7 linked regions of the Xenopus tropicalis genome follow. The protein of the gene in region 4 binds, or shares a complex with, the protein of the main gene of each other region. Links are inferred from orthologs where the notes say so. Each region holds a gene or a part of one and is shown on either strand. Other genes may lie near its edges. The genes, in order: morf4l1, ruvbl2, tada3, trrap, mbtd1, vps72 and meaf6.

Evidence for each region.
Region 1: trrap (region 4) and morf4l1 share a complex: the UniProt entries of both Homo sapiens proteins name them as parts of the nuA4 histone acetyltransferase complex. The link is inferred for Xenopus tropicalis from reciprocal best matches to the Homo sapiens genes TRRAP and MORF4L1.
Region 2: trrap (region 4) and ruvbl2 share a complex: the UniProt entries of both Homo sapiens proteins name them as parts of the SWR1-like complex. The link is inferred for Xenopus tropicalis from reciprocal best matches to the Homo sapiens genes TRRAP and RUVBL2.
Region 3: trrap (region 4) and tada3 share a complex: the UniProt entries of both Homo sapiens proteins name them as parts of the TFTC-HAT complex. The link is inferred for Xenopus tropicalis from reciprocal best matches to the Homo sapiens genes TRRAP and TADA3.
Region 5: trrap (region 4) and mbtd1 share a complex: the UniProt entries of both Homo sapiens proteins name them as parts of the nuA4 histone acetyltransferase complex. The link is inferred for Xenopus tropicalis from reciprocal best matches to the Homo sapiens genes TRRAP and MBTD1.
Region 6: trrap (region 4) and vps72 share a complex: the UniProt entries of both Homo sapiens proteins name them as parts of the nuA4 histone acetyltransferase complex. The link is inferred for Xenopus tropicalis from reciprocal best matches to the Homo sapiens genes TRRAP and VPS72.
Region 7: trrap (region 4) and meaf6 share a complex: the UniProt entries of both Homo sapiens proteins name them as parts of the nuA4 histone acetyltransferase complex. The link is inferred for Xenopus tropicalis from reciprocal best matches to the Homo sapiens genes TRRAP and MEAF6.

The regions. Positions count from the first base shown.
Region 1 is NC_030679.2:118,081,489-118,084,988, reverse strand, and holds part of morf4l1 (mortality factor 4-like protein 1), read left to right. Parts: intron 1-74; coding exon 75-100; intron 101-202; coding exon 203-291; intron 292-569; coding exon 570-671; intron 672-1,483; coding exon 1,484-1,572; intron 1,573-1,651; coding exon 1,652-1,824; intron 1,825-2,115; coding exon 2,116-2,200; intron 2,201-2,544; coding exon 2,545-2,629; 3' UTR 2,630-3,500. UniProt on the Homo sapiens protein: Component of the NuA4 histone acetyltransferase (HAT) complex which is involved in transcriptional activation of select genes principally by acetylation of nucleosomal histones H4 and H2A.
Region 2 is NC_030683.2:113,417,080-113,421,110, reverse strand, and holds the start of ruvbl2 (ruvB-like 2), read left to right. Parts: upstream 1-1,231; 5' UTR 1,232-1,427; coding exon of another isoform or gene 1,428-1,476; intron 1,477-2,464; coding exon of another isoform or gene 2,465-2,520; intron 2,521-4,031. UniProt on the Homo sapiens protein: Possesses single-stranded DNA-stimulated ATPase and ATP-dependent DNA helicase (5' to 3') activity; hexamerization is thought to be critical for ATP hydrolysis and adjacent subunits in the ring-like structure contribute to the ATPase activity.
Region 3 is NC_030680.2:138,580,975-138,584,946, reverse strand, and holds the start of tada3 (transcriptional adapter 3), read left to right. Parts: upstream 1-1,172; 5' UTR 1,173-1,360; intron 1,361-1,460; 5' UTR 1,461-1,602; intron 1,603-3,562; 5' UTR 3,563-3,580; coding exon 3,581-3,787; intron 3,788-3,972. UniProt on the Homo sapiens protein: Functions as a component of the PCAF complex. The PCAF complex is capable of efficiently acetylating histones in a nucleosomal context. The PCAF complex could be considered as the human version of the yeast SAGA complex.
Region 4 is NC_030685.2:26,359,720-26,363,219, forward strand, and holds part of trrap (transformation/transcription domain-associated protein), read left to right. Parts: intron 1-245; coding exon 246-445; intron 446-1,045; coding exon 1,046-1,263; intron 1,264-1,442; coding exon 1,443-1,640; intron 1,641-1,766; coding exon 1,767-2,027; intron 2,028-2,118; coding exon 2,119-2,280; intron 2,281-3,500. UniProt on the Homo sapiens protein: Adapter protein, which is found in various multiprotein chromatin complexes with histone acetyltransferase activity (HAT), which gives a specific tag for epigenetic transcription activation.
Region 5 is NC_030686.2:23,310,543-23,314,042, reverse strand, and holds part of mbtd1 (MBT domain-containing protein 1), read left to right. Parts: intron 1-1,151; coding exon 1,152-1,286; intron 1,287-2,994; coding exon 2,995-3,083; intron 3,084-3,265; coding exon 3,266-3,500. UniProt on the Homo sapiens protein: Chromatin reader component of the NuA4 histone acetyltransferase complex, a multiprotein complex involved in transcriptional activation of select genes principally by acetylation of nucleosomal histones H4 and H2A.
Region 6 is NC_030684.2:137,929,488-137,932,167, reverse strand, and holds the end of vps72 (vacuolar protein sorting-associated protein 72 homolog), read left to right. Parts: intron 1-316; coding exon 317-434; intron 435-524; coding exon 525-701; intron 702-790; coding exon 791-935; intron 936-1,186; coding exon 1,187-1,565; 3' UTR 1,566-2,180; downstream 2,181-2,680. UniProt on the Homo sapiens protein: Deposition-and-exchange histone chaperone specific for H2AZ1, specifically chaperones H2AZ1 and deposits it into nucleosomes.
Region 7 is NC_030678.2:86,132,697-86,136,196, forward strand, and holds part of meaf6 (chromatin modification-related protein MEAF6), read right to left. Parts: intron 2,271-3,500; coding exon 2,155-2,270; intron 1,663-2,154; coding exon 1,575-1,662; intron 734-1,574; coding exon 688-733; intron 294-687; coding exon 101-293; intron 1-100.

The sequences.
Region 1 (3,500 bases), on a different chromosome or scaffold from region 4:
TTTTTGTTGTTGTAAATGTTCTATTGTAGATAGAGATTTTCACTTATCCTAATAATTTGTTTCTTATCCTCCAGCAAAACAAAGAAGAATAAACAGAAAGGTGAGTGTCTCTTTTTTTCTCCTAAAGAATATTTGAATTACTCTGTGTATGTGAATTTTTTTTGTATGTGACCTCACCACAAGTGTATTTGTATTTTTGCAGGCCCTGGAAGTGGAGAGGGCAGCAGCACAAGTGACATTCCGCAGCCACCACGGAAAAAACGGGCACGGATAGATCCCACTGTGGAAAGTGTAAGTATACATGGAGCCAACTATTAATTTAAAAGCTGTCCCCCTGACAGGATGTGCTAAAGGCAGTTAGTTGGGTCAGTGAAAGAGTGGATGTGGGTCTTTACCAGGGGTTTAGTAATGGTTCTGTGTCACTGATTTTATATTACTACTTTTCCCTGCTTTATATAACTACTTTTCCTTAGTCATGAAATGACCTATGTTAGGAACAAATTAGGTGTTCTCGGTATAGAAGTAGAAAGTGTCAACTATTCATTTCTGAGAATATGTTATACCCCCAGGAGGAGACTTTTATGAACAGAGTTGAAGTGAAGGTAAAGATTCCAGAGGAGCTAAAACCTTGGCTTGTGGATGACTGGGATTTAATCACACGACAGAAACAGGTATAAATCCTGGGATAAAATCTGTTCATTTGCTACATGTGTATGCTGCTCATGATATGCAAAGTATGATATTACTAACTAGTTGTAAAGCTTGTGTATGTGTTAGAGGGGTTTGTATGACTTTGAAAATATTGTTTTGGAAGTGTCATTTCTTTGACAGATTAAGTATACCTTTTAAAAACTTATTGTGTTCCTACTTTCTAACAGTGTTGTATGGTTAACATCACAAATATGTTTTTCTGTATTAGCTCATTACATCATCCAGTAGGTTTATAGCCAACCTATAGATGCCCCAAGAGAATAAGGGAGGGACAAGGTAATACAGAAGAGTACAGGGTTGGTAAAAGAAAAGGACAATTATGAATAACTAAAAAGCGAAAATTTTAGTCAGTAACACTTAATTTTTTAGCTATGCTTATTTCTTTTCGGGCTAGAACTAGGGTTTCTCACCAGGGAGTGAATGAACTGCATGCGGGGGCAGGATGAGTGCGGGCAAGTGAGCATCTTGTTGAGGGGTTTGTGTAAGTGGCGACCAGAGTAGATAATTGGTGGGAAGCACTGGAACAAATAGTACTGCCTTGGATACAAAATACTACTGGCCTTCCTCTGACTCCTTTCAAGTGCACAAGCAGCTTGCATCTACATAGTTGCCAAGTTCTAACAGATTAGAAGGGGGGCCAGAAGTGTTACATGATTTAGGGGTGGGTGTAGGCCATTTTAAGGAAAGATATTGAGGAATTAAATTACTTTGCTTACCACTGTTGTATGTGAATGTAAAGCTTCTTATGCTACTCCCTTTTCTCTCCACACAGCTGTTTAATCTTCCAGCAAAGAAAAATGTGGAAACTGTTTTGGAGGAGTATGCTACGTATAAAAAATCTCGGGGAAATACCGATAACAAGTAAGCCATATTTATGTAGCTTACATTCCTTGATCAGTATAGAGGAACTACCTGATTTAATATCCTGTTTCCCTCTTAGGGAATATGCTGTAAATGAAGTTGTGGCAGGGATCAAAGAATACTTTAATGTAATGCTTGGCACACAGCTGCTATACAAATTTGAACGTCCCCAGTATGCAGACATTCTGGCAGACCATCCAGATGCCCCCATGTCTCAAGTGTATGGAGCACCACACCTTCTGCGTCTATTTGGTAAGATCATTATTCTGGATCTTTGACAGTGAAACTGGTGCTTTTAACAAGCCCAGTGTATTCAGAATATTCTAAATTCCAGTACTTTGCCCTTGCCCAGTATTTGCTCTGCCGGAATAGTTGGCTGAATGGATGTCTGTGATTTTCCATGTGCTTTAACGCTTTAACTTACATTATTTGATATAGTTTGACAAGAATACATGGTGCCTTATGCATTGTGTGAAGCCCTGTGTAAAACTATCACCAAAAAAAAGTTTTGTAAAATTAAATGTTCTGATTTTGTTTCTTTAGTCCGAATTGGAGCCATGTTGTCTTATACTCCCCTCGATGAAAAGAGTCTGGCACTGCTTCTCAACTATCTACATGATTTCTTAAAGTGAGTAACCTTTTTCTGACAAGTTGCACCATGAAATCACATTATCTCAGTATTAATTTCACTTTTAGCCTTAGGAAGTTTGATTTGGCACGCCACATCTCCTGACTTCTATCAGCTTCCTGTCATGTGACATGGTAACATAATAGTTGACAAGCATCGATCCTGCCACTTGATATTCACATGGGGGTGTAGTCCCTTTTAGAGAATCGCAATGTTGGAAAAGCTACCCTTTACTAATTCTGCCTTGTACTCAGTTCTGAGAAAGTAGTGATTTCAGTCTGTTTGCAGTGCTTGTAAATGTTAACTTTGCTTTATTTATTATGGATATTTTTATTTCCTCTTAGGTATTTAGCCAAAAATTCCTCCTTGCTCTTTAGTGCCAGTGACTATGAAGTGGCGCCCCCAGAATACCACAGGAAAGCAGTATAGTTTGATTTAAGAACACCACAGACAGAACGGCTTTTGAGCATTGTTGTGACTGCTCTTATGACTTTTAAAACCCCCAAATTAAAAAAAAAAAAAAAAACTTGGGACAGGTTTCATTGTACACATTGCAGCTTTCCTCCACCATGCTGGTTATGGGGAAAAAAAGCTGAGAGAGAAGACTGTTGTGAACAAAAAGACAGACACAGCTGCCTTTGGTTACTGGATTTCAATGTCATTGGGTGGTAACTTTAGAAAGTATCGGAACTTTGGCAGCTAATATATCAACTGTTCGTGACCAAAGATGTTTCACTTAGAAGCCTCAACGTGTGGACCTCCTGAGCATCTAAAATATATTTGGTCTGTTCATCATATTTAATGGCACGAAGATACTCAAATCCAAGACCTATCTGACTTCTGTTTTTTAGTTATCACAATTTATTTAGTAAATGGAAGTTGGGGTACAACCATATCTTAGTGTAGGATCTGGATCTCTAGGAGTAACTGTCCTGCATCTTACTGGAATATGGAAGCAGCAGTACTTTCTTATGGATTCCTGAAAATAAAGTCTGATACTGTATCTCCTTTATGACTGGCATGGTGCAAAAACAACAAAGTGTCGTCCCTGAGCTCTGGCCTTTTGTTATTCTTCAGAAAGGGACCATTTTGGACATTCTGTGAAGCAACAGAGACCAGAAATGTCTGCTTCAGTTTAATCCTTGCCAAGTAGCACCTTTAAAACAAAATAATGGACAGAGTAAATTGCATGGAACTATTTGAGTTGCTGTAATGATTCCCGGGTGGAGTTTCTGTACAATGCAACCATGTCCCAGCTTGTTCTCAACGTGTATGATTATTCAATATGTGTATTGCTTGT
Region 2 (4,031 bases), on a different chromosome or scaffold from region 4:
TGTATTTCATTGGTTGCCATAGGTTACTTCATCAGGACAGTTTTGCTCTATGTTAGTCAACATATAGTGCCCAGGGAGAGGCAGCAGGAACCTGACCAGGCCAAATGGGGTATAGGGGGCACTGCATATAAAAGAGTAACCCAGATCTACACACTAGCTCCAGAGAAACAGCCTATAACAGATATGAGATACTTTTCCTGTGGCTATGCATAGGTTCAGGTTTGTAGTTACATGGCGTAAGATTTCATTCCTTTATCATTATTGGAAAGTGAAAAAGAGCTCTTGTTTCTATGCAGTATATTCAGGCCTCTTAGTGCAGCCAGCCTCACCAGAACTGAAACATTTACTCCATAGCATTCTGCTCAGTTGACTGCAAAAAGCTGAACTATGGTTGCCATGGGGTTCTGCATCACCGTAGGGCATGCATCTGTTTGTAAATTCCCCCCTCTGTGAAATGTGTTGGTGTGTATGGCCACTTTTATATGGAGCAGTAGTGTTGGTTCATGGTAAGCAAATTAATTACTCTATAGTTGAATGCAATGTAGACCAAAGATGCTTTCCTCCAGCCTTTCCATCATCCTTGGATATAGCCATGCAGTAGCTAGGGGGGTTGCTTGTGGTGTAGTGGCAGAGGTATGCTGAATATTCTGGGCCTCTGGGGATGAATTATTTAACACGGTGTTAGTCTCAGTAGCTTTGTTTTGCTTGTTCCTGGATAGACAGTCTGCCAGTTTAGCCCATCTTTTTTTGTATGACCAAAAAAAAAAAAAAAACAGCTTCCTGGTTACGAATTGTCCAGAATAAGGCAGATTTTTAGTGCAAATGTTAGTAAATCCTTTCAATTAGATAAACTGCTCACCTGCTTGAGCTGTTATTTCACATCATACTCCCTGTCAGATGGCTTGTGTTGCCTGGTGTGACAGGGGTGTATGTAGTTGCTCTTGAGTACTATAAGAGTAAAATGACTCCAGTTCCATGAATTACCCGTGTGTTTTGGGTATCCTATAGCAGGACAGTTTGCCTTGGTTCTTACCATCCCGTATCCTATTGTTGGAGAATTTGCTTTGCAAACAACCTTGATTTGTTACTAGGAAACCGTTTGTTAACGGGGAAGATCCTTAGGGCAGACTGTTAGGATGGTAATGACAGGCATAGGCCGAGGCAGTTTGCAGTTGTTCTTATATAAAGGTAGGGCTAAATGGGCATGAGGTGGACAAAAAACAATGTTCAGCTCACAACATGCAGGGGTGGGGCAAATACATTTGGAATTCTCAAGAGGTAATCTCACATTCTGTAGAAAACATTGGTGAATCTTTATAAGCCAATGTCTCCTGCATTTATTTTGCTGCTGAGTTGTAATTAGTATTTCATGCATTGATGTCTAAAGGAAACCGTGATCAATATTCATGGTTATTTATGTCTCATAGACAACCAAGGTGCCAGAGGTGCGAGATGTCACCCGGATTGAGAGGATTGGTGAGTGTAAAAATACTACAAAAATAAACACAAAAATAACCTGCTAAACATGATGTGGTTCCCATGTAGCCCTCCTATTCAAATAACTGAATATTTTAGAACTCATGTATTCACCTCCATTGCATCGTGACACTTTTTGTTTCCATGGGCAGCAGTGCAGTTTAATCAACAAACAGTCTCCTTGGTGATAAATAGCTACAGAGGGTTGTAACTTTGCTGCAATCCCAGGCATTAGCATCACAAAGTTCCATCACTATTTTCATTTACTTTCAAGCCAAATGTGTTTAATTTTATTTATCTAATTGCAACAACAATTTTAAACGCGCATTATACACCCCTTTTCAAAAATTTTGAGTGCTGAGCATAATTTTTTGCCTGTTTAAAGTAAGAAATATGTTGCTAATAAGGAATGCCCACAGTGCCTTTTTTCCTACACTTTGGTCAAGCTGTTGGCTCTGTGCCAGATTATTTTGATAACATATATATATACTATATATGATAAAATAAAACATATATATTGCTTAACAAATATCCAAATAATAAAATATTTCAAGGAAACAATTTGTACATGTAATTGCAAATGAAAGCAGTGTCTGTTTATGTTTTTCTCTAACTCGCTTAAGACAATATATATTCACCTCCATATCCATTAAATCAAACAGCGGCTTCCAAGCCAAAATTAGTTAAAGAGCCCCACACAACACAGAAACCCCTAATATACCTATCCCTGTAATCTGTTCCATTAAAAAGTATGAATAAATACCATTTTATATGCTGAAATCCAGCTGTAAAACATTTATTTTTCTGCATTTGGCATCCTAGCATTAGCACGTGTAACAGTGCATATTAATTGTATGAGGTAGTCTGGGTATGTATAGATTAATACAAAAGATATCCAACACATTAAAATTAGTCTGTGTTTTGTGTTTCCTACCTATTAACTGCTTATTTTTGTGTATATAGTCTAACATTTGTCTCTCTTTGCCAGGCGCACATTCTCACATCAGAGGGCTTGGCCTTGACGATGCGTTGGAACCCCGTCAGGTACTGAAAGCGCTCTAATACTATAATATGAATGGTTATGAATTTTTGCTTATAATGACACTGGTTAGCGTTAGACAAGCAAGTGGCAGATTGGATACGTGTCGATCTGTCCTTCCTTCTAAAAGTAAATTTAACATCATATGTGCAGGGAATTGTGGGATTTGGAGTATGCTGGCTGAAGGCAGGCTTGTCAGCCAGATCAGCAGGAGAACAGGGGGCAGGGCTAAGGGAACTGTTCTAAACCATATTACATACAGTGGTGTGAAAAACTATTTGCCCCCTTCCTGATTTCTTATTCTTTTGCATGTTTGTCACGCTTAAATGTTTCTGCTCATCAAAAACCGTTAACTATTAGTCAAAGATAACACAAGTAAACACAAAATGCAGTTTTTAAATGAGGGTTTTTATTATTTAGGGAGAAAAAAAATCCAAACCTACATGGCCCTGTGTGAAAAAGTAATTGCCCCCTGAACCTAATAACTGGTTGGGCCACCCTTAGCAGCAATAACTGCAATCAAGCGTTTGCGATAACTTGCAACGAGTCTTTTACAGCGCTCTGGAGGAATTTTGGCCCACTCATCTTTGCAGAATTGTTGTAATTCAGCTTTATTTGAGGGTTTTCTAGCATGAACCGCCTTTTTAAGGTCATGCCACAACATCTCAATAGGATTCAGGTCAGGACTTTGACTAGGCCACTCCAAAGTCTTCATTTTGTTTTTCTTCAGCCATTCAGAGGTGGATTTGCTGGTGTGTTTTGGGTCATTGTCCTGCTGCAGCACCCAAGATCGCTTCAGCTTGAGTTGAAGAACAGATGGCCGGACATTCTCCTTCAGGATTTTTTGGTAGACAGTAGAATTCATGGTTCCATCTATCACAGCAAGCCTTCCAGGTCCTGAAGCAGCAAAACAACCCCAGACCATCACACTACCACCACCATATTTTACTGTTGGTATGATGTTCTTTTTCTGAAATGCTGTGTTACTTTTACGCCAGATGTAACGGGACACGCACCTTCCAAAAAGTTCAACTTTTGTCTCGTCGGTCCACAAGGTATTTTCCCAAAAGTCTTGGCAATCATTGAGATGTTTTTTAGCAAAATTGAGACGAGCCATAATGTTCTTTTTGCTTAAAAGTGGTTTGCGCCTTGGAAATCTGCCATGCAGGCCGTTTTTGCCCAGTCTCTTTCTTATGGTGGAGTCGTGAACACTGACCTTAATTGAGGCAAGTGAGGCCTGCAGTTCTTTAGATGTTGTCCTGGGGTCTTTTGTGGCCTCTCGGATGAGTTGTCTCTGCGCTCTTGGGGTAATTTTGGTCGGCCGGCCACTCCTGGGAAGGTTCACCACTGTTCCATGTTTTTGCCATTTGTGGATAATGGCTCTCACTGTGGTTCGCTGGAGTCCCAAAGCTTTAGAAATGGCTTTATAACCTTTACCAGACTGATAGATCTCAATTACTTTTGTTCTCATTTGTTCCTGAATTTCTTTGGATCTTGGCATGATGTCTAGCTTTTG
Region 3 (3,972 bases), on a different chromosome or scaffold from region 4:
AGTAGAAACTCACAACCTGCCCAAAGGACAGTTCTTGCTCCAGTAAAGACACCCACATATTTTAAAGGGGAAGTAATCCCAGAATTGAAATGTTGCCTAGCCAACTGTCTATTAGCAGTCATTGCAATTAAAAAGCAATCAAGGTTATTCTCACTCTTACAACAATGTAGCAGAAGCCAAGCTCTCCTGCTGCGTGTATGGGCAATGCCTCAGCTGGCTTCAGATACAAAGTGTCAATAGTGAGAGCCGGCAGTGCAGGAATCAGAGAGAATGGAGCAAACCCCGCTCTCACTAGCACATACATTGCCTTAAAGCTGAATAAAATGAAAGTCCCGCCGGTGGCAGTGCCAACAGGCAGTTACAGGTTGGGCGAGTGTTGCGGAACTGCAGCTCTCACTATACAGATGTCAGGCAGGCAATGCCTATGGAGGGATTCGCTTAATCCCCTATGGGAAGGACGTTTAGTTGTAGTTCCGCACAGTCTTCCTTAGTATTACAGAGGGATCACTGTATGAATGTAAGGAATACACCGCGTCTTATGAACATTCCTACGCCGGGCCCCCGCCCAAGACCGGTTCCCTAAGCCGCCCCTGCACCGCTCCCTGCTCGACCCACGGGCTTAGCATGGCAAACACAGGCGGCCTATAGCCCGGTTCTCTATCCCGGACTGTTGTCGCTCTTTCGTGTCAATTTCTCCGTAAAACCCCCCGCCCCTCACACTCACCATCGCTCCGGTATCCCCCGATAGCGGAAGTGACAGACTCGCACATGCGCACTACCTCTCTTCCCCCTCACTGGCACAGCCAGCGGTCGGACTAAACCATCATAAACTGGGGTTGGGCGAACATTTATACTTAAACCATGTAGATTAATTTAGCCGCTTGGGCTGTGGATATACACATAAGCATATCTCAGTTCCGTTCTTGTTACATTATTATTCTCATATACGTATAAAAAGCAATACTATATGAATTTACCCGGTGTGCACCCTCCTCTTGAAAATGGTCCGGCTCGCCCCGCTTCACGCCATATTAGGGAATGTGGAATGCAGGCGGGTCAGACCAAAGTGGGGTTTAGGGGGTGTACAAACAGAACATGAGCGACCGGGAGAAATTTCTTACAAGGTATTCATGAGAGAGATTGTTATCACGACTGCTAGAGGCTTATGATACCAGATACCTGCGGATCTATCACAGCTGCACATCAATAGTAATACTACGGGAGCCCACAGGCTAAGCCTTCCCAATGCCGCCATTGCGCGCCAAGTACGATTCTTCTCTATGGTTGATTCCATCGGGGCACAAAATGGGTGCTTAAAAGAGATTGTGCCTTGTGGACGTGAACCCATTAGGCGCTTGTGGTAAGAACGTTCCCTAAGAACGGGTTATTGTGCTCAACGGCCTATTCCAGCCTTATTAGTTGTTCCCCATTTACTGACACCCCTATTTGTTTTTCCGCAGTGGTACGCTCCCGGGTGACTGACAGGCGGTGACAGTGGCGGCCTTGCGTGAGGAGCTTGGCTCTGCCCCCTACTGGCCGTTGGGAGACAAAGGAAACGAGCGCAGGAGCAGGATCCATTGAGGGGGCCAGGCCGGAGTGTGGGTACGGGCATATTGTGTGGTGTCGGTATATACCGTGCGTGGGGGCTCAGTGCTTGCGTTATATGCGGAGAGTACCTGTAACAATGCGTCATTTGGTAGCCATAGGCTACTAAATACGTTTACTCCCCTGCTGTAATAGAATAGGACTACAACTCCCAGCCGCCCCTTTCGCAAAGCGCCAGTTCTGCAGCAACTGGAGAGCAGTTACCTGTACATAAGGGGTTATTAGTAATAACCCCTACCCCAGGGCACAGGTGCATAGTGTTACTGCTCCTGCATAGGCATACAGTATACACCTGCCCTATAGCCTGTTGTGCATTGGGGGTATGGGTGCACTTATCAATAGTACTGGGGCATTGGGGTACAGTATGGCCGGCCATTACAGCTGGCTGTGCATTAGTGCTGCAGGGTATGGAGGCTGCAATATACACATGCAGTAGTGCTGCAGGGTATGGAGGCTAAAATATACACATGCATTAGTGCTGCAGGGTATGGAGGCTGCAATATACACATGCATTAGTGCTGCAGGGTATGGAGGCTGCACTATACACATGCATTAGTGCTGCAGGGTTTGGAGGCTGCAATATACACATGCATTAGTGCTGCAGGGTTTGGAGGATGCAATATACACATGCATTAGTGCTGCAGGGTTTGGAGGATGCAATATACACATGCATTAGTGCTGCAGGGTTTGGAGGCTGCAATATACACATGCATTAGTGCTGCAGGGTATGGAGGATGCAATATACACATGCATTAGTGCTGCAGGGTTTGGAGGATGCAATATACACATGCATTAGTGCTGCAGGGTTTGGAGGCTGCAGTATACACATGCATTAGTGCTGCAGGGTATGGAGGCTGCAGTATACACATGCATTAGTGCTGCAGGGTATGGAGGCTGCAATATACACATGCATTAGTGCTGCAGGGTATGGAGGCTGCAATATACACATGCATTAGTGCTGCAGGGTATGGAGGCTGCAATATACACATGCATTAGTGCTGCAGGGTATGGAGGCTGCAATGTAGACATGCATTAGTGCTGCATAGTGCTGCAGGGTATGGAGGCTGCAATGTACACATGCATTAGTGCTGCAGGGTATGGAGGCTGCAATATACACATGCATTAGTGCTGCAGGGTATGGAGGATGCAATATACACATGCATTAGTGCTGCAGGGTATGGAGGATGCAATATACACATGCATTAGTGCTGCAGGGTATGGAGGCTGCAATATACACATGCATTAGTGCTGCAGGGTATGGAGGCTGCAATATACACATGCATTAGTGCTGCAGGGTATGGAGGCTAAAATATACAAATGCATTTGTGCTGCAGGGTATGGGTACATGAAGGCTGTAATATACACATGTATTAGTGCTGCAGGGTATGAAGGCTGCAATATACAAATGCATTAGTGCTGCAGGCTATAGGTGCACAGACAGTCCTGGTATTTTGGGGTACAGAACAATATACACGTGCATTAGTGCTGCAGAGTATAGATGATATATTCATCTTAGTGTATTGGGGGTACCGCATTCACCTGCATTACAGCATTGGTGAACAGTATGCACATGTGGTATGGCTTGTTGCCTATTGGTGCTGCAGAGTATGGTTGCATACATTTGTGTTGGTGCAACATATGCATGTATTCTAGGTTTAAGAAGGGATTCGCTGTTTATTTCAGAGGGGGGATTTTTGAGCTCTTGCATTTTTGCTGGTGTATCATATTAGACCAGGGTCAGACTTGGCCCTCCATAGGGCCCCCTTTTAAAACAAAACAATGTTATAGGTGTTGTATATGGCTAGGTGGAAATAAGGGGCTGATGGGAGTTGGCCTAGGTCCAACAGTAGATTCTTCAGCGCACTAAATAGAGAAAAAGGGCTTGCACTCAAATAATGCAGAGGTTGTATTCTAAAAAAAAAATTATCTTAACCTTTTGTATTATTCTTTGTTGCAGGCCGCCAGCCTTGGCAGAATGAGCGAGTTAAAGGATTGCCCTCTCCAGTTCCATGACTTCAAATCTGTGGACCATGTCAAGTTGTGCCCCAGATACACCGCAGTTCTGTCCCGCTCCGAGGATGACGGAATCGGGATTGAGGAGCTGGATACCCTTCAGCTGGAGCTGGAAACCCTACTGTCCTCTGCAAGCAGGAGGCTCCGTGTTCTGGAAGCGGAGACCCAGGTAAAAATCAGGGGGTTAAATGTAGAGCACCCGTCCCTCAGCAGTGGCTGCCCAGTGTACTTGGCATGAAGGAATATGCCCTTGTGTAGGAGGGTTTCATGCCCAGTAGGAATGTCTATAGGTTTGAGTTGGTATAAATCTTCAGATGGCAAAATGCTGCATATGCTGCCCGTTATATTTATTGT
Region 4 (3,500 bases):
GTGCCTAACATTTTGCACCCTGAATTAAAATTGATTTTACATGTCCTTTAAAGAACCCTTGTTACATGGGGCAAATACTTAAATACTCCATTCAATAGAGATCCTCCCTGTTTGTCCGTACACTGCAAATACAAAATATTCTAGCATCATAAGACCTCTGACTTTAAAAGTTCCCTGTTCCATTGGGCCAGCCAGCTAATAGCTTGGGTTTCCCAGTGATAATAGTCTCCTTTTTCCCTTTGCAGTTTCACAGAGAAGTCAATCCCAAGTGTCATTATTTCACATCGATACAAAGCTCAGGATACCCCAGCTCGGAAAACTTTTGAGCAAGCGTTAACTGGAGCCTTCATGTCTGCTGTGATCAAGGACCTGCGCCCAAGTGCTCTCCCTTTTGTTGCCAGTTTGATTAGACATTACACCATGGTAGCTGTTGCGCAGCAGTGCGGTGAGCTTGTGTTCCTGGCTTTGGCTAACCATAAATTTCTTTTTAGATATTTGGCCCATAAGGCATTGCTAGGTTTTGCTACCCTTATAAATCTTATTTTTCTGTTTACTGCATTTTTTTGTGATTCATTTGTGTGATTATAATGTTTATACTATGATATAACCTTTTTGGCAGACTTATAAAATACATTATATTTATATTACCCTTTTACATTCAGGTAATAGTGTAGCACCCTCTATCATCTCCTCTCAGCAATGACTAATCTATATTATAAAAAGATTCACTATGGTTTACAACTTTCTTGGCTATTTCATGGGCATTTTCATGACTTTCAGTTCGATTTGCAGTGTTTTTGTGTACACGTGGGCTTGGGCCAATGATGATGGCTATAGCACCCAACATCCAATGTCACATGACACTTCAAAAGTTTATAGCTCTAAAATTTGTTTGTAAAACTGCTGAGAGGAACACTTTAGATATCTGAGTAATGAAAACATACAGAAATACAAGAAAACTAATTTTAATTAATGTATAGGTTTTCAGAAATTGAGTACAACAGTTAGACTAAAATCAGATTTTTTTTCCTCTTTTTGCCCCCAGGCCCTTTCCTTCTGCAGTGCTACCAGGTCGGAAACCAGCCAAGTACAGCCATGTTTCATAGTGAAGAAAATGGCTCCAAGGGAATGGACCCGCTGGTGCTCATTGACGCCATAGCAATATGCATGGCTTATGAGGAGAAGGAACTGTGCAAGATAGGAGAAGTGGCTTTGGCCGTGATATTTGATGTCGCCAGTATCATTCTAGGATCAAAGGAAAGGGTAATCCACCATTTGCATAAGATCAGTCAAAGGAACATGCCTTTAGAATTAATATCTATAGTACTTATCATTAAATGAGCCTCTTTGACAGCTAGCGTTATTATTTGGAGATCTAACCCATTAGCCATTAATGCCTGAATCAAAATGTACCATAAACTGTCTTTAATTTTATTTTTTAGGCCTGCCAGCTACCTCTGTTCTCCTACATTGTGGAACGACTTTGTGCATGCTGCTACGAGCAGGCTTGGTATGCAAAGCTAGGTGGCGTGGTTTCTATTAAGTTCCTAATGGAACGCCTTCCCCTCATTTGGGTTCTTCAGAATCAGCAAACTTTTCTCAAGGCCTTGCTTTTCGTCATGATGGACTTGACTGGTGAGGTAGGTAGTGGGCATCACATAGTGTCATTCCTGCTCAGTGAGAGCCTAGTGATCTCTGTTTATGGGTACAGCATGTCTTAAACAGCATGTTGTGATATATTACTGAATCTAACTATATTATTATAGGTTTCTAATGGAGCAGTGGCAATGGCCAAGACGACCCTGGAGCAACTTTTGATCCGCTGTGCAACCCCACTTAAGGATGAGGAGAAAACTGAGGAGATAGAGAATGCCCACAAGAAATCCTTCCACCTCGTAACGCATGATTTGGTTCGGGAAGTGACTTCTCCAAACCCCACTGTGAGAAAGCAAGCTATGCACTCACTGCAAGTCCTGGCACAGGTGACTGGAAAAGGTGTCACCATGATCATGGAGCCTCATAAAGAGGTAAGATGGTGTGTGGTTGGACTTTTGTGCCCATGTGGTTTGTTTGTTCATTGAATGAGCCTACATTCATTTCAATGACTTCTGTATCCAGGTCTTGCAGGACATGGTTCCGCCAAAGAAGCATTTGCTCCGTCATCAGCCAGCAAATGCCCAGATTGGTCTCATGGAAGGTAACACCTTCTGCACAACGCTTCAGCCCAGACTGTTCACGATGGACCTCAATGTTGTTGAACACAAAGTCTTCTATTCAGAGGTATTTCTGCCCATTTCTTATGTATGTATGTATGTAAAGCAGTTATCTCTGGGCTTGTGACCTTATGCAGCCTCAGCCTCAGTATTTCTACAACAGCAGCAGTGAGGATTACAGTGACTGAATAGATTAGAATTTGTAAGAACCAACATTTTTTTCAACAACTGTAACTTTTGTTTTGATTTATATATAACTCTGTACAGTTTTTATTTTTTGTTACCACCATTTGGGAAAAATCTGTTTTTATAATGTTTGCTCCAGCACACTTCTTGGCAGAAGTAGCTAACAGTTACTGTGGCTTGTTAAAAATACAAAATATTAATAAGCATTGGAACAGTTGTTTCCTCACCTTCCTGGGCAACGCAGAAGTCTCCCACTTCGGGGCAGAAGAGTTTAAGAAAATAGGCTCTCTATGGAGTCGAATCCCTTTGCATTTCATCCTATCTACCTATAGATACAGGAGATACTTATAGTACTTGAGAGGAAAACCAAGCAGTGACATGTCTAAACAATGCATTCATTTCATGAATCCAAGAGAGTGTTCTTCAATATTAAGTGATTTATTAGCCGTTGGAAAGACTGTTTAATTAGCCTGTCTCCATTACTATTGTAAAGCTTCCATGGCTCAAAGTAGAAATGCAACAGTAGAGAAGAATGTGCCGGAACCTTCCTCTAAAGGTGGCCTTACACCATAAGGAGTTGCCAGTAACACTGTGTGGATTGACACAACCCGCAGGTTTTCCATTAGGCAGGTTAGGGTTGAAATTTGTCTGTCTTGGAACCCATTGTGCATGCAGAAGTAGCTTATAGAGCAGAAAGACTTGGGTGTGGGTCCTAAAGTGGCAACATTTTGCCAGTTATGGTTGGGTTGTGCAGGTTGAGTTTTACCCAACTCCCACATCACTAGTTGCTGACCAGACAAACTTACTGATAAAGGTACTGGCAGGACAGAGGGCACCACTCAACCAGGTGGACTTTAAAGGAAATGTAAACTTTAAAATTATGATTTGTCCATAAATGAAAATAACCATTTGAAGCAATATCGTCTAGTTAAAGCTAGGGAAACTTCCTGCAAACCTGCCTGATTGATTTTCTGACTGATGTCGGATGAAAAATGGCTAGATGTATGATAATTTGGTGCCCACTAACCTTACGATAATTCAAACTGGGCCCCACTTACTCTAGCAGGCTGTCAAAAATTACATGATAGACAGGGAAACAAA
Region 5 (3,500 bases), on a different chromosome or scaffold from region 4:
GACAACTATTAGTCATGCACTGCACAAAGTTGGCCTTTATGGAAGAGCGGCAAGAAGAAAGCCATTGTTAACAGAAACCCATAAGAAGTCCCGTTTGCAACAAGCCATGTGGGGGACACAGCAAACATGTGGAAGAAGGTGCTCTGGTCAGATGAGACCAAAATGGAACTTTTTGGCCAAAATGCAAAACGCTATGTGTGGCGGAAAACTAACACCGCACATCACTCTGAACACACCATCCCCACTGTCCAATATGGTGGAGGCAGCATCATGCTCTGGGGGTGCTTCTCTTCAGCAGGGACAGGGAAGCTGGTCAGAGTTGATGGGAAGATGGATGGAGCCAAATACAGGGCAATCTTGGAAGAAAACCTCTTGGAGTCTGCAAAAGACTTGAGACTGGGGCAGAGGTTCACCTTCCAGCAGGACAATGACCTTAAACATAAAGCCAGGGCAACAATGGAATGGTTTAAAACAAAACATATCCATGTGTTAGAATGGCCCAGTCAAAGTCCAGATCTAAATCCAATCGAGAATCTGTGGCAAGATCTGAAAACTGCTGTTCACAAACGCTGTCCATCTAATCTGACTGAGCTGGAGCTGTTTTGCAAAGAAGAATGGGCAAGGATTTCAGTCTCTAGATGTGCAAAGCTGGTAGAGACATACCCTAAAAGACTGGCAGCTGTAATTGCAGCAAAAGGTGGTTCTACAAAGTATTGACTCAGGGGGCTGAATAATTACGCACACCCCACTTTGCAGTTATTTATTTGTAAAAAATGTTTGGAATCATGTATGATTTTCGTTCCACTTCTCACGTGTACACCACTTTGTATTGGTCTTTCACGTGGAATTCCAATAAAATTGATTCATGTTTGTGGCTGTAATGTGACAAAATGTGGAAAAGTTCAAGGGGGCCGAATATTTTTGCAAGCCACTGTATATAGCACGGCACCTCCTCTACTCAACTGCAAAGAAAAATTATAATTAAACACACAAAAATATATTAAGTTGTGGAAGTTTTTTATATGGTCTGGTACTGTATTCCAAGCTTCTTTCCAGAAAAGGTGCATATACTTTATTTTTTTTATAATTTAGTCTATCATATAATTGTCATCCAACTAAAGAATATTTCCATTTTAATTTTTCTTTCCTAGGGTTTAATGCATTACTAAGGTATGAAGGCTTTGAGAACGATTCCAGTCTTGACTTTTGGTGTAACATTTGTGGACCTGACGTTCATCCAGTTGGCTGGTGCGCAACTAGTGGAAAACCATTGGTCCCACCACAAAGTAATGTCAATCTTGTTAACATGCTTGTTTGTTTTTTTGCCATTATATATGCACAAAATAATTTGTTGTCCTATGAAATATGGCTCAGAATTAAAAAAAAAAAACCTTTATAAAAAAGCAAGTACATGATATATTTCTCCAAACCTGGGAACCCTGGGCTCCACAAGCAGTTATGTCTGTGTGTGTGTGTGTATATATATATATATATATATATATATATATATATAATATATATGATTTATATCTTCTTTTAGCATAGTCCTGACCTGACTAACATGATTAGAGGCTCAATTTCTGCACTATTACTACTATAATAGAACGATCATGGTGTTCTTTCTTACATGAAATAATCAGGGACGGTGTTTTGTTAAAGATGGTTTATAGAAATGTTTCAGTTAAGTAAGGGAAGAGTGGATTACAATAATAGATGTAAAAATACTGTTACTGTTTTACTGTTAAATTTTTTTTTTTTTTTTATTTTAAATGGACCCAGTAACGTTTTCCTTACTAATTTACTATTATATATTTTTTAATTTACATTTGAGTTTTTCTTTTAAAACAGAACAGAGTAGCAGAAATTTCAGTGCCACTTGGTAACAAATAAACAAACCATTACAGAAGGAAATGGTACACATCAGGCACTCTTTCAAAGATCAAAAAAGTTTTAATTCAATCCCATATTGTAAAGTGTTATGTGGATGTCCCAGCATTTTAAAATATATATACACACATGCTTATAATCACTAAGGGGCCCATTCATTATACCACAAATTTTGGGTGGTTACAAGCACGATTTGAAAAAATTTGGAATAACCACAATAATTTCTGATGTGCGAAAATGTCACATTCTTTTCTCGGTCTTATGAAAATATTGTGGTTGTGATCCGAAAGTCAAAAAATTTTCGGATCCCAACGATCGTCAACGGCGCAAAAACATTTGTAGCTTTGAAACTTCAATGCATGATTTTGGAAGCCTTCAATAGGACTCAATGGCACTCGACAGATCCAGCTTTGACTGATACCAAAGCTTGAATTAATTCCAAAAAGTGAAAGAAAACCACGGAAAAGACGTGGAATTTTAACGAAAATATCGTGGACATAACAAAGTTCTATAAATTAGAAAAAATACGTTTTTTTTCACAAAAAAAATTTGTGCTGTCATGAATGGGCCCCTGAATGAATGCGAGTGCATGTAGTAGAACAACCAGATCCTCACTTGCCCTGACTTGGGGGGTGTCGGATGTTCTTTCAGGACAAGCAAAAAGCAGCTGTTGAGGTAGTTCACCTTTTAAAAACCAGGATTCGTTTGAAAAACTTTTTAATGGCATGCAGTTCACTTTCAGACATTAAAATTGCTATACTTTGCAATTTTTTCCACTGTACTCATAGTTTTATTGTTACCCTGTTCAGGCAATTAAAATACTCCATGAGCGCATTATACAAATGATACAGTTTATGTACGTAGAAGTCAGTTTATACATTTACAGGACTATGGATTTTAAAATTAAACACTTTTACGTACAAAGTGTACTGCATTGGAGATTATCTTGCCTCGAGCCTGTGCTGCATTTGCTATAAATGTTCTATTGCATTATTTTATATTAATTTTTCATCAAATGTTGGAAGTTTAGGTTTTTTTGTTTTGTTTTTTTCAGCCTGTTTTCTAGTATATTCACTTATTCTCAGTTTTACAATGTGTCTTTTACAGCCATTCAACACAAATACACAAATTGGAAAGCTTTTTTAGTGAAACGATTGACTGGTGCAAAGACTCTCCCACCAGACTTCTCTCAAAAGGTAACTAATCATAGCAAAATTATAGATTACCTTTATCTGGTGGAACAGCATATAACTGTAACTGAGAAATTACTTTTGCTAATTGTGTGCTTGAAATATTCTATTGCTGATGGCCTACTATACCTGGTAAATTAATTTATTCTTTATTTACGCTCTGATGTGTCCTTCATCTGATTCTGCAGGTATCTGAAAGTATGCAGTATCCTTTCAAGCCTTCCATGAGGGTAGAAGTAGTTGATAAAACACATCTTTGTCGAACACGGGTTGCAGTAGTAGATAGTGTAATTGGAGGTCGATTAAGATTGGTATATGAAGAAAGTGAAGACAAAACTGATGACTTCTGGTGCCACATGTACAGTCCCCTCATTCATCCCATTGGCTGGTCAAGAAGCATAGGGCACCGATTCAAAAGAACTG
Region 6 (2,680 bases), on a different chromosome or scaffold from region 4:
GAGAGCCATGCAGCCTTTCTTTTATATCTGTGTGTGTCTTGTACTTACTGAGAGCCATGCAGCCTTTCTTTTATATCTGTGTGTGTCTTGTACTTACTGAGAGCCATGCAGCCTTTCTTTTATATCTGTGTGTGTCTTGTACTTACTGAGAGCCATGCAGCCTTTCTTTTATAGCCGTGTGTGTCTTGTACTTACTGAGAGCCATGCAGCCTTTCTTTTATATCTGTGTGTCTTGTACTTACTGAGAGCCATGCAGCCTTTCTTTTATAGCCAGGCTATGCTACTTTTTTAATATTTCCTTGTATTCCCCAAACAGGAGCCAATTCAACTCCTTAAACCAAAGCCCAAGAAAGCAGATGCCCCTCCCAGCAGTGCAGCAAAAAGCCGCCCAGAAAAGCCTCACCCTCAGGAGACACCAGAGGACGCAGTAGACAGTGAGTATGCCGCGGGCAGTGAGCTAGGGGGTTTCCTATGCTCAGAATCCGATTGGCTCTCCTAACTAGTCTTCCCCTTTAAACTCTCAGGCCGCAAACAAATGCGCCAATCGACGACGGAGCACACGCGGCAGACTTTCCTGCGAGTAAAAGAGCGGCAGATCCAGTCCAAGAAAAAGAAGGGGCCCCACCAGGACCGACCGCTGACCCAGGTGGAGCTGCTGGAAGAAGCCAAGATCACCGAGGAGATCAACATCCGCTCCCTAGGTGCGTGAGTACCGCCACTCCCCGTCCCGCTCCGGTGCCCTCCCCCCCCCCCCCCCCGTGCTCCAATGGTTTCTCCCTTTCTCCCACAGAGAATTACGAGCGCCTGGAAGCCGACAGGAAGAAGCAGGTCCACAAGAAGCGACGGTGCGTCGGCCCCACCATCCGCCACCACTCGCTGGTCATGCCCCTCATCACCGAGCTCAACGTGAAGGAGGAGAATGTGGATGTGGAAGGGTAGGTGCAACATGGCAGCTCCTACTTTGTACAATTCCCTCTTCCCATTTGTTATGTGTAACAAGGGGCATCCTCAGTGGGCAAACCCATCAGTCATGTGATGCTGCCCTGTGTACATTACATTTCCATCCTTGATATTGAAGCAAACGCCTGGTTGTTAGGGTCAGTGACCCTAGCAACCAGATACTCACTTTCTTAACCATTACAACGTTTTCTCTTGTTGCTTTTCTTTTATGTGTTGGGGGCCACAGGCTGGATCAGGAGCAGACAGGGGACGGCGCCCAAGTTTCGTCCGCGGGCAAATGCTCCCGCACTTTCATAACATTCAGCGACGACGAATCCTTCGAGCGATTCTTCCCCAGGACCAAGCAGGGCAAGTTCTCAGTCCGGGACATCTGCCCCGTTACCCATAAGCCGGCCCAGTACCGAGACCCCATCACAGACATCCCCTACTATAACGCCAAAGCCTTCAAAATCATCCGGGACGCTTACAAAAAATACATCACCACGCACGGCCTGCCTAACGCCGCCATGGCGGCCGCTATGGGCCCCGCCCCCAGTTCTGCTGACGCCGCCCAACGCAACACGAGGCAGAAAATCATTATCAAGCAGAGCGTGCCAAGCGCCTGATACAGCGCCCTCTAGCGTCTGCCGGCCATTACAGCACTCTGAGAGAGTTATGTACAAAGGATTATTCCCATTGGGAAGCTGTAGAACATCTACAGGGGCCACATTGCTCCTCTGATTCCTGGAGTAGAAGAAATGGGAGGGGCCAGGGGGTTGAATTTCTTAATGAGCCCCCTCACATTTGGGGGGGGGGGGGCTGCTCCCCTTAGCAGTAATGTAATTGGCCGCCATTCAGTTCAAATTACCAAATGGTAAACCCCGCCCACCCCAAACACACACAGGGGACTGGGACACCTGCTTCCAATAGCAGCTAAACAAACAGTATGGGGGGTGGGGCAAAGGCACAGATGCAGTTACCAGGGTGGCTTTAACCTGACTGACGTACTGTATGTTATATAGGGCTGAGCTCTCTCTATAGGCTACTATCTGGTTGCTAGGGCTTGATTACCCTAGCAACCACACACCAGGTCCGATAACACACTATAAAAATTGAAGTCAGTTTGCATTTTGGTTTCCAGAGATGTTTTGTTGGTTAAATGCTCCTAGAGCACTGGGGGGGGGGGGGGGGGACTGTCTGTTATGTACATTATAATAAATTTGATTAGTAATTTCTGTGAATTGTAGTTAGTTGTGAGTTTTATTATGGCTTTTCATGCTGAGTAAAAGTACAGGGCGCCAGTGGCAGCATAGGGATTCCCCTGTACTAAGCACAATTCAGCAGGAACAGCCCCCTAAGTTTGCCCATAGCCTGTACAGAGAGATACCATAAAACTATGGCACATAGGGATTCCCCTGTACTAAGCACAATTCAGCAGGAACAGCCCCCTAAGTTTGCTCTTAGCCTGTACAGAGAGATACCATAAAACTATGGCACATAGGGATTCCCCTGTACTAAGCACAATTCAGCAGGAACAGCCCCCTAAGTTTGCCCATAGCCTGTACAGAGATATACCATTAAACTATGGCACATAGGGATTCCCCTGTACTAAGCACAATTCAGCAGGAACAGCCCCCTAAGTTTGCCCATAGCCTGTACAGAGAGATACCATAAAACTATGGCACATAGGGATTCCCCTGTACTAAGTACAATTCAGCAGGAACAGCCCCCTAAGTTTGCC
Region 7 (3,500 bases), on a different chromosome or scaffold from region 4:
GAAACAGTAAAACTTCTAAATCATTTTTATTAAAAAATAAAAATAGTGTCCTTAAATACAGTTTTAGCAAATTACAGTTCTAAGCAATTTTTCAGCCAACCTGTGCCTATTTTTATTCTTGCGTTTCTTGTGACTGCTGTGATGGCCACCAGAATTGGCTGAAGAAGCTGCTTTTTGAGGTTTAACACCAGACAGGGAACCATCTAAATCCTCTGTATCATCTTGGCTAGGCTCATTTTCTTGGTTCTGAAAATCTGGAGAGTTGTCGCTCTCTGTTCCGCTGCCTGGCTCCCCTAAAAAAAAAAACAGAGCAAGACCGCATAAGATGCAGTCAAAAAAATCCACGAAAATGAAAACACACAATTCTATAACTGCAGCTAATGCATACATGGTACAGATGGGCTACCTACCATTGCCAACATAAAATGTAATGATATACAAACCCTTTTTAAAGTCTTATGATACTGATAAATAACAGCTCAAAGATTACTTTAACATTTCAGAGCATGTTGGAGTATGATGTAAGTATAAGGAAGGTTTTGGCAAAAAGAAAGAATAGTGGAGATCCTGCGCAAGACAGTATCTGAAAGTAAATCAGCAATAAAAGATGCATGACACATTAAATTATGCTCTCATCTCACTTGAAGACAAATACAAAGCAAAAAAACATATAAACATTACACTCACGTTTCTCAATCAGCTGGTCTTGAACACCTGCCAATGCACTGACAGCCTAAAGTGTAAACACAAATATTTGTTATAGAGCAATAAGGCACTTTCTATAGCAGCTTAGAATATAATATGAGCAAGTTGAACAGAAGGACTCGTCTAACTGGAGATTCAACACCTGAATGTGGCATTCCAAATTAATTTAAGGCACTGGCGTACATATGCACCCCACAGATTTTTTATGTCATAATTGAATTATAATCTGGTCCACAAACTTACTGGTTACCACCTAATTGGTCCACTTTTTATTATAAGTTGGACAGCACAGTTCTACATAAATGACCTGTACAAGAACCCAGAGATCCAAAATGTTTTTCGATGTGGCTATGCCCTAAAAAAATCTGTACATAGACTGAAACTGTAATTACCAAAACAAGATTACCATGCAAATGAAAAGATGGTCATAATCAGGCCTTATAAGTTGGCCATTCTAAGGGCTATGGCACACGGAGTGTTTAGTCTAGTGATGCCATCCAGAAGAAAACAACAGTAAACAAAATACCATTGTCCATCTGCCTGTTAGTAATTAATGAAATGCGCCAAATTGTAAACCCATGCAGTGGTGGCAGTAAGACTGTGGTATGAAAACTGTGCTTTTCATTAAAGAAGAACTAAACCTCCCCTAGACAAAAGCCCCCCATCCACTGCCTTCCAATGAGCCCCATCCTTGCTCCCTCCCCTTTGAGTCTATTTCAATGAAAAGTGTCTCTGTAAAGCTGACCTACAGATGCAGAATACCACAGCGGAGCTAGCTAGTCATTTTAGGGATTATAAAATAAAAGGTTTACTTATTCTTTAATGTTCATTCATTACTAACCATGAAAGCTTTCTTAAATTGTACTTACAGCAGCTGATGTTACGGAAGATTTGCTAAAAAGTCGTTCTGCTTCTTTGAACTTTCTGTTCCTCCTATCATTCTTACTGTTTGAATTCCTGCAATAGAAAATTTTGTTTACTAGATTCACATATAAAAATATATTTGGCACTATTCTCCAGCAAGCCCTTTCTCATAGGTATCCATAGTGTATGATTATTGGCAACCATACTGTTCATATTCATAGACAAAATTTTATGAAATTACATGTATTGCCAGTTTCAGAAGGAACAAATAACATTCTAAACTACAGTGCACTTCAATGCATTCTTTTTCTAAATACTGTCAGGAGTTCATATTTTGCTTCATATTGCAGCATAAATTGTAATGCACATTAACTGGAAAAAAAAGCATATTAAAGCATTGACCATAAATCCCAGATCTTTAATAAAGTGAGTTATAGCAGTAAATGTAGTTGTGGTTGGGGGACTACTGTAGTCTGTTAAACAGTAAGTGAATCAGATTAAGTTGTATTAATCTTTTCATCAAATTTCTAAAGCAAAGGGCATATAGGGTTAAACAAAAACAGAAGCTTACTAATCCAAACTTACTTTTGATTTGTTAGGTAACGGTCCCAACCTCTGATAATGTTACCATACATCTGTGTGTCTTCCAAGTAACTCCCTTCAAAAGCATAGATCTGCCGTTCTAAATTTGCAAGTGTCTCCTATGGAGAGAGACAAATCACAACTTTTTAAAAATGCTAAATATTTATGGACACAATATTAGGACAGTTGGTATATACACAGATTAAAAAACATTTGCAGGTCTGTTACATGATTCATATTGTGACAGAAGTCAAAGATTTAGGGGGTTATGTAATAAAGTGCACTAAGTTTGCCCAAGAGAAGTAAACCATAGCAACCAATTAGCAGGTAGAATTTACTGGTCACCTGTTTAAAAGCACACTTCTAATCTTATTGGTTGCTATGGGTAACTGCTACATCTTTTATTGCATACGGGGTTAGACTTTCTCAAGTAGGCTAAAGGGACCGATATTACACTGTAATTGCTTCTAATGTATCACCTCAGATACTCAAGTAGTTTCAATGGCAACCACATGTATCAGCATAAAATGCCCACCCACTCAGTAATTGGGTAATAAGGATCCATACAGTTCTAATTTACTGAACAGAAGCGTAGCACATAACAGTTTTACATGGGTGGTGTGTTGATTTTAACATATGATTCGTAAATATTGGTACCATATAGTATACAATTACATGCTGATGCATTTGTGAGACTTAGAAGCAGAGTCAGTTGACTTGTGGCATATGGGGCAGGGATCCAAATGCCACCTTTACCACTGCATTAAAACCTTGGTAATTTCCACATAGAACATGCTGCCAACAAAATGGATAATGGTGCTTTTCAAATTCAGCTCACCCCAACAAAGTAAAAAGCAGTGTTTTCAATTGCTGTTGTCAAAAGTTGCTCTCAAGTGCGTGCTCTTGTCCCAGGAACATTTGCGCACCCACTGCAAACTATCAGCAGTGTGCACACAAACTTTCCTGGGACAAGAGTGGCTATAGAGAAAAACAGGGTCTGCTTTCTCTGTAGTTACGCTACTGAAAGTTACTATATTTGGATCATGGCACATGGAAACAATATTGCATGAAAAACAGTGTTGTATTCGTAATTATGTGAATAATCACAGTTTTTTTTTATATGATGGGGAAACATTCAGTTAAAAGCAAGTTGTGAAGTCACCAAGATAAAACACTGCATTAAGACCCATCCAGGATAGCTGTTGGGACATATGACTGCTGTCCATTGATGGGGTAACACTTTTACGGATCCTTAAATCAAAAAGTTTGCTTAGCCAAGTACATAATTAATTGGTTAGAAATTTGTTTGACATTCTTGCTTTCCAACAACATAGTTTGAAAAGTACTCC